Linked DNA regions of Callithrix jacchus. The protein of the gene in region 1 purifies or fractionates together with the protein of each later gene. This does not show direct contact. Links are inferred from orthologs where the notes say so. Each region holds a gene or a part of one and is shown on either strand. Other genes may lie near its edges.

What was found. The genes of interacting proteins can lie anywhere in the genome.
Region 2: the proteins of ECPAS (region 1) and PSMD1 purify together in Homo sapiens (affinity purification with western blotting; 3 studies listed by BioGRID, with this or other methods). This does not show direct contact. The link is inferred for Callithrix jacchus from reciprocal best matches to the Homo sapiens genes ECPAS and PSMD1.

The regions. Positions count from the first base shown.
Region 1 is NC_133502.1:159,722,667-159,726,177, reverse strand, and holds part of ECPAS (proteasome adapter and scaffold protein ECM29), read left to right. Parts: intron 1-455; coding exon 456-647; intron 648-1,237; coding exon 1,238-1,446; intron 1,447-2,260; coding exon 2,261-2,304; intron 2,305-2,396; coding exon 2,397-2,589; exon of another isoform or gene 2,590-2,978; intron 2,979-3,511. UniProt on the Homo sapiens protein: Adapter/scaffolding protein that binds to the 26S proteasome, motor proteins and other compartment specific proteins. May couple the proteasome to different compartments including endosome, endoplasmic reticulum and centrosome.
Region 2 is NC_133507.1:152,511,319-152,515,270, forward strand, and holds the start of PSMD1 (26S proteasome non-ATPase regulatory subunit 1), read left to right. Parts: upstream 1-1,148; 5' UTR 1,149-1,299; coding exon 1,300-1,315; intron 1,316-1,365; exon of another isoform or gene 1,366-2,232; intron 2,233-3,952.

The DNA of each region.
Region 1 (3,511 bases):
TGCTTTGCTAAAAACATTTGTTTCTTTTCTTTTTTTTTGAGACAGTGTCTGGCTCTGTCGCCAAGGCTGGAGTGCAACAGTGCTATTTTGGCTCACTGCATCCTCAGCCTCCTGGGCTCAAGTGATTCTTGTGCCTCAGCCTCCTGAGTAGCTGAGACTACAGGCACATGCCACCATGCCCGGCTAATTTTTGTATTTTTTGTAGAGTTGGGGTTTCGCCATGTTGCCCAGGTTGGTCTCAAACTCCTGAGCTCAAGCTATCTGCCCACCTTGGCCTCTCAAAGTGCTGGGATTACAGCCTTGAGCCACCCACACCCAGCCTTCTGGAAACATTTCTAATGATTTTACCTGTTTTCTTTTTGTTTTGCTATTATATGAGTTGAACAATAGCCTGTTTATGTCAGTTACCCTTAAAAACAAAAAATATCATAAAGATTTTGGTTTCTCCTTTTCAGAACCTATCTACAAGACCTCTTGTGCTTTGACTATTCATGCTATTGGACGATACAGCCCTGATGTATTAAAGAATCATGCAAAAGAAGTCCTGCCTCTGGCATTTTTAGGCATGCATGAAATTGCTGATGAGGAGAAATCTGAAAAAGAAGAATGTAACTTATGGACTGAAGTATGGCAGGAAAATGTACCTGGTTAGTAGTGGTGCCTGAGTTAAACCTGCTTCTTAGGATTCACAGCTATATCACAATAAATGTCAATGTATTTACTTGCATTCCTTATTCAAAAATTCCTCTAAAGTTACTTTCCCAGGACCTTAACAACATGCATTCCATTTAGTTTTAAATTCATCCAAATTGCTGAGTTCTAAAGGTTGGCACTCAGGATTTTTGTCTTTACTCATTCATCACTGCCCATATGAGAGAATATATAACTCTGTGAGCAAGGAGAGCTTTACATTTTTAATTTAGAGTGAATTTATGTGGCCTTAGAGTATTATTTTTCAGTCATTTTCTAAATGTGTATTTCACCTTGTCACATATTAATGGATGATGCCCATTTGTGTGATAACCTCTTGTGGGCACTGAATTTCAAAGTTCTACCATTGTGAGAATAAGTCATACCACCAACATACTTTTTCTTCCTTTGAGAGAGTGGTGTGTTTTAACAGTTGAGAATCATTGCTTTTAGACTACTAGTCACTGACATTTTTTCAGACTTAGAAAAATCAGTTAATTTTTCTTGTCACTTAAAAGTTGTTTTAATTTTCCTTTTTATAACCCAGGTTCTTTTGGTGGCATTCGATTATACCTGCAGGAGTTGATTACTATTACCCAGAAGGCTTTACAGTCTCAATCCTGGAAAATGAAAGCCCAGGGTGCAGTTGCCATGGCATCAATTGCAAAACAAACTAGCTCTCTAGTACCTCCATATCTGGGAATGATACTTACGGCATTGCTGCAAGGCCTGGCTGGAAGAACATGGGCAGGAAAGGTAAAGGAAACATTCATGCCCAGTTAAAGGAATTCTGACTTCATCTTTCATTTTCCATAATAAGAATCTGATTATGTATAACTTCTGATGGATTATTTTTGTGAACCAGATTTCCTAGGCAGTGGGAAGCTTTGGATGAACCTTGCCTTATTTACTGTGGTATTTCCTCTCAAACTGTAACCTAAGTGGCCTTGCATAATGGACAGTAATGCTGGAGATAGAGACATTTTTCATATTCAGCCTTCCAAGTTATATCTTAAACCAACTTGTCCTCATTTTGTGCCTGTTGACCTCATGAACAGATCAGGATTGGGCATATGTGAAATAGAGTAGCACGGTGGGCTGCTTCTAAACCTGGGGCTGAAGATGCCCATCTCTGGGACCTATGAATTAGTAACAGTTATTTTTTTACACAAGGGCTATATTAGGATTCTTACAGTGAACACTCAGTGGGGAACATGAGATTGTGGCAGCATAATGATCTTTATGTTGCAAAGGTCAATAGTGGCTCATGCAGCACTGAAGTAGTACTGGATGGGGAGTTAGACATCATTCTCATTCTCTGGTTGACACTGTTGTCTGTGAGATCTTGGTCAAATCAGCTCTTTAGGCTTCTATGAAATGGAGATGAAGATAATTATCCTGAGTCCATGGTTTGGAGTAAAACTTGGTGAATGTGCTTAAAATTATGCATTAAAGATATGGTGACTTGTTAATTTTTGTTGTCATAAGAATTCCTAAGGTAACTGTAATCATAGCGTAGAGAGTATAAATGACATTTGGGCTTAATCATATTCATCTTTCCACCCCATAGGAAGAGCTATTGAAAGCCATTGCCTGTGTGGTGACAGCTTGCAGGTAAATGTCCTTTCAATGAAGATGCCATTTCTTAAACTGAACCTGAAAGCTGCAGCCTTTATTAACTTCTGATGCTTTTGTGGATCCTGTAGTGCAGAGCTGGAAAAGTCTGTGCCCAGTCAACCTAGCACAAATGAAATTCTTCAAGCTGTTCTGAAGGAATGTAGCAAAGAGAATCTCAAATACAAGATTGTAGCAATCAGCTGTGCAGCTGATGTCTTGAAGGCCACCAAAGAAGACAGATTCCAGGAGTTTTCTGACATTGTCATACCTCTCATCAAGAAGGTAATACTGCCTGTATCCTTAGTGCTGGTTTATACTTTAAAAAGAAAAACTTAAAAGATTGTTTTCCCCTATGATCTAATTATTAGGATTAGTTTAGCTGCAAGTAACAGAGAAATCCCAAAATATGGCCTTCAACAAGACTGATGTTTGTTTCTCACATAGCATTGGGAGCGTCACAAAGCATTCAGGTATACTGACTCTTTACAGCTCCCAGCTCTGCCATTTCTAGGGTGTGGTCATCAGCCTCATGGTCCACAGTCTGTTTGTGTTCCAGGCAGGAATGCAGAGGAGGTGAAGCAAGGATGAAGGATCACAGTGAACATGCCAGTTCTCTCTTGAGAGTTCCTGGGCACTGCTAGACAGCACTTTCACTTATATCCATCCCGTTGGTCAGTACTTAGCCACACCTGGCAGCAGACTGAGTCTTCATTCTGGGTGTCCATTTGCCTTCCATGGGAGAAGGGGAGGGTGGATTTGGTAGTGAATGAACAGTTTCTGTCATAATCAACTTTTCCTTGCAAGCATGTACAGAAGCCACTCCAGCCATCCTAAAGACAAGTGTGCCATGTGAATTGCCTCTGCCACATAGTGGAGGATTTGGGTCAAAAAAAGACTCAGGTTTCTTGTGGAAAATGGAATACTCATTTTTTAAATTTGGGCACTGGTCTGCATGAAAAAGGAGTGTAGTTTACCTTTTTCACATTTATTTGTGAAACATGAAATATTTTAAGTAACATTCTTATCTCTTATCTCTTATTACTGAAAGAAAACAGCTGCTGATTTGCAGTTGTTTTCTTTCAGTAATAAGGCTATTTAAATAATTTCCATTACAAACATAGTAATAGGATATGGTTTTGGGAGACTTGTGTTTTAAGTTGATTACATCACCAGCGAGCTGGATAAGTTGTTTCTCTTAGCCTCT
Region 2 (3,952 bases), on another chromosome or scaffold:
TCCTGAGAGGCTGGGATTACAGGCGCACACCACCACACCTGGCTAATTTTTTGTATTTTTAGTAGAGATGGGGTTTCACTATGCTGGCTAGACTAGTCTCGAACTCCTGACCTTCTGATCCACCTGCCTCGGCCTCCCCACACCCGGCCAAGAATTCTAATTTTTAAAAAAATCCACACATACAACAAAATGTGTTGTCAAGCACATTTAATTCACCGGCAACCACAAGACATTAATTGTGCCCCTAGGTTAGGTAGAAGGCCATAGAAATGAACTTGCCATCGCTGTCCAGTTTGGCTTGATAGTGCAAGGCCAGTGGCTTTAACAGATGCTACCGTTTGCCACTATTCTTTGTCAAGACTTTGTCAGTACTGACTCTTGAAATAAATTGGCCACTGAAGCTGTTATAAGACTGCAAATGGCCGTTGCAACTACCGTTTCAAATTTCTAAAGATGTAATAGAAACGAGAACCCACTGCCATCAGGGGAAAGAGGACCTGGGCAGATGGAAGGAAAAAATGAGAATGGAAGACATTTTTTCTCCCTTGGAAAGGCTTTCACCATGTAACTACCGCACATTTTAGTACATGGGTAACACTGGACAGTATTCCAAAAGTAAGTAAAAACTTTCATTGTTCAGCTTTATAATAAACCATGATTACTTGTGAATTTATTATGATAATAAAGCACTTCTGTGAGGTTTTTAAAAATTTTTTGAAGTTAGGCATTGCTTTAGAAAACAATTAAAAACCACTTTTCTAAGAAAACGCAGTTTGTGGCAGCCCCAATTCCGCAGGTATTGGCTGGTGAGAGATGTGCTGCAGCGAGACCTCCCAGCAGCAGGTGGCACTGCGCGCCCTGCTCGCACCTCCCCTCAACACCCTTTCTCTCAGCAATGGCGGGTGATGGTGGGGCCCTCTCTTTGCATGGGTGGCCATTCTAATGCCTAACCTCAGGTGCAGACCAGTGTTGCCACCGTGCGAGAGTCCTGACCTCTAGGAGGGTTAAAGAAAACAATGATGTTCTCCGTGTACCCTTCCGCGAGGACTCAGGAGGAGACCGCGGTGCAGAAGACGCAAGCCAGGAGAGAATTCGCGCCGGGCGGCAGGCGGGGCGGCGGGCAGCCCCGGGGCGAGCGGGGTCCTGGCGAGAAGCGAGCCGGCGGCCTGAGGAGGCGACTGACTGAGCAGCGCACCCGGGGAGCGAGGAGGCGCGGCGGAGTGAGTGGGCCCTGAGCTGACAGATACAAGGCGCGGCTGGAACTGCAAGCGAGCCGACCGGCGAGTGAGGGGCACAGCCATGATCACCTCGGCCGGTGAGTGCGGCCCCGAGCAAGCGCCGGGAGGGAGGAGCCGCCGCTGCGCCGGCTTTTAGCTGAGTCAGGGCCGGTGACTGGGCGCCTCCCGGCGAGGCGCCGGCCTGTGCAGCTCCTCACTGGCCGAGGCCCGTCCTCGGGCCAGGGGCTGGGAGTCTGGTCAGGCCACTGCGTGCTCCTGTGGCTTGAGGGAATGAGCCGAGTCGACCGCCTCGGCATCCCTCCCCAACCACACCCCCGTGCCAGGACCCGAGGGGTTCCTGGGCCTTCCCCTGACCCCAAAAGGGTTTCCGTTTTTTCTCTGCCTCCCATTCCTGGCCATGTGAGGTTGTCCAACCCCAGCCCTTCCCCGGAGGGGGTCGGAGTGGGATGGTCCCCTGTGCCACTGAACAGCAAGACAACCCCCGGGCCAGGCAGCCTAACTGCTGCATAGGTGCTTCTGGACGTGGCCGAGCTCCCTTCTCCGTAGAATGAAACCTGAAGTTAGGTTTGAGGTGGGTCGTTTCTGGGTCTGATCCAAGGATATTCATTCAAAGCACCCGGAGAACTCTTGTTTTCGATGAAGACCCTGAAGACGCCTTGGAGATACCTTTATACCGCGAGCCTCCTTACCCTTTCGAGGTTCTGTGCTCGGTTATGGATTTTCCATTCAAGGAAGAACGGATGGGTCTGCGGAGCAGATTGCAGACACGCAAACCATTGCATAGGTGGATTCTCGCAGTGACATTTGCAGTGGAGGAGGTCACAGAGATCGAGTTTCGGTTGGAGAAGCAAGCTCTCTCCTACATGTAGCTGTCAGAGCTCTTTTCCTTTGCCTGTTTACCTGCCTTTTCTTATTTTCTTACTCTGCTTAACCCGCAAAAAAGCTTTTTGTTGTAAACAAACTGGTGAGCAGAAGACAGTGTCTGTGTGTTAAGGTGATCAAAACTTTGTTTTTCTGGGGATGGGTTAAGGCAATTAGTGGTGATACTGGGAGACAGAGTAGTTATTTTCAGGCATTTGAATGGGTGTCGTTTGTACCTGGAATAAGACTTTTTGTCCCCAAGGGATACAGGTGATCCCGAGATGAATATTAGTTCAGTATTGGGAAGTTTTTCCAGTCAGAGCTTTGTAAAGATCAAATAAACTCTCAGTTTCTTGCCACCTCTAGGCCTCATTCTATTTCACATCCATCCGTTACCACTGTTTCTTCTAACGTGGCCCAAACCTTCATTCATCTCTTGTTTGGGTTACTGTATCCGCCGTAAGGCTTTGTTTTTCGACAACTACCTCCATACAGTCCGTTTCTCTTGTGGAATGTGCTTTTAAAAACTTTAGTCATATAATACTTTGCTTAAAATCCACCAGTGCTTCCATGGCCTTTAGAGCAGCGTGTCCAACCCTTTGAGTTCGAGGACTTCTTATCTGTGGTGGCGTATATGAAAATTATACACAAATCTTTTTCTTTTTTCTTAGCTCATTAGCTATCATTAGTGTTAGTGTGTTTTATGTGTGGCCCAAGACAATTCTTCCATTGTGGCCCAGGGAAGCCAAAAGGTTGGACACCCCTGGCATAGAGTAAAATCCAGACTCTTAAACAAGGACCCCCATGATCTGATTCCTGCCTTGTCTTGTAGTACTGTCTTCTTCCCTCAATACGGCCTAATCACACTGGCCTTTTTGCTCCTTCATTATGTCAGTTTCTGTCCTATCTCGGGGCCCTGGCACATTCTGTTCTTTTCTAGTCTTTTCTTCCTCAGGTTTTCCCTTAGCTTCTCAATCTTTAGTCTCAACTCAAATGTTATTCTTCCCTGATCACTCTATTAAAATGCGCTGACTCTCTCTCCATCACAGCTCTGTAATTGCCTTGTTTGTTTACTTGCCTGATTACTCTCTTTCTCTCCCTGGTAGAATATTGAACAGCAAGTTTGTTTTCACAATTCTTAGAACACTGCTGAGAACATGGCAGAAATTCAAAAGTATGTCTTGACAGAAGAGCTCAGCCAGCCAGTCATGGCAGTTAATCAGTCCTTTGAGTTTTTAATGTAGAAATTGAAAAAGCATTTGGTGACAATACAATAGACTAAGCCTCTTTAGGACGGCAAAACTAGTAATTTTTGAGGTTGTATCCTGAGATTCTGTGATGATCGTATAGTGTATATTTATGACTGTGATTCACGTTTATTGGATTACTTGTCAACTTCTGCTCCAAGTCTTTTGTCACCTTGTTTTCTGTTCTATGGCTCATGTTTATTTAGAATTTGTCCCAGGTGCTAAACAGGCCAGTGTCTTGGTTCTGGTGTGGATTAGGCAGTTTGTTCATTCATTTATTGACCAGGCAATTGCTAGGCACTAGCATACAGTGGTGAATAAGTGGTCAACATGTTCTATTCAAGAGGTTTGACTATGCAAGGGAGTAGAGAGATAGAGGTCGGTGCCTACTGTAGGGAGACGTGAAACTGAGTGAGGGTTTTGTTTTGTTTTGTTTTAAACAAAATACAGACACATAAAGGAAAGTTGTGCTAAGAAACTTTAAAACAATAGCCCCCCCACCTCATGTTCCCTATCCTGATCCCCAGGGGCAACTGTTCCCAACTTTTAAGCTATGTCTTCTGGAACATACCTCCATGTTTATAAATAACATCCAAATATTTCTGT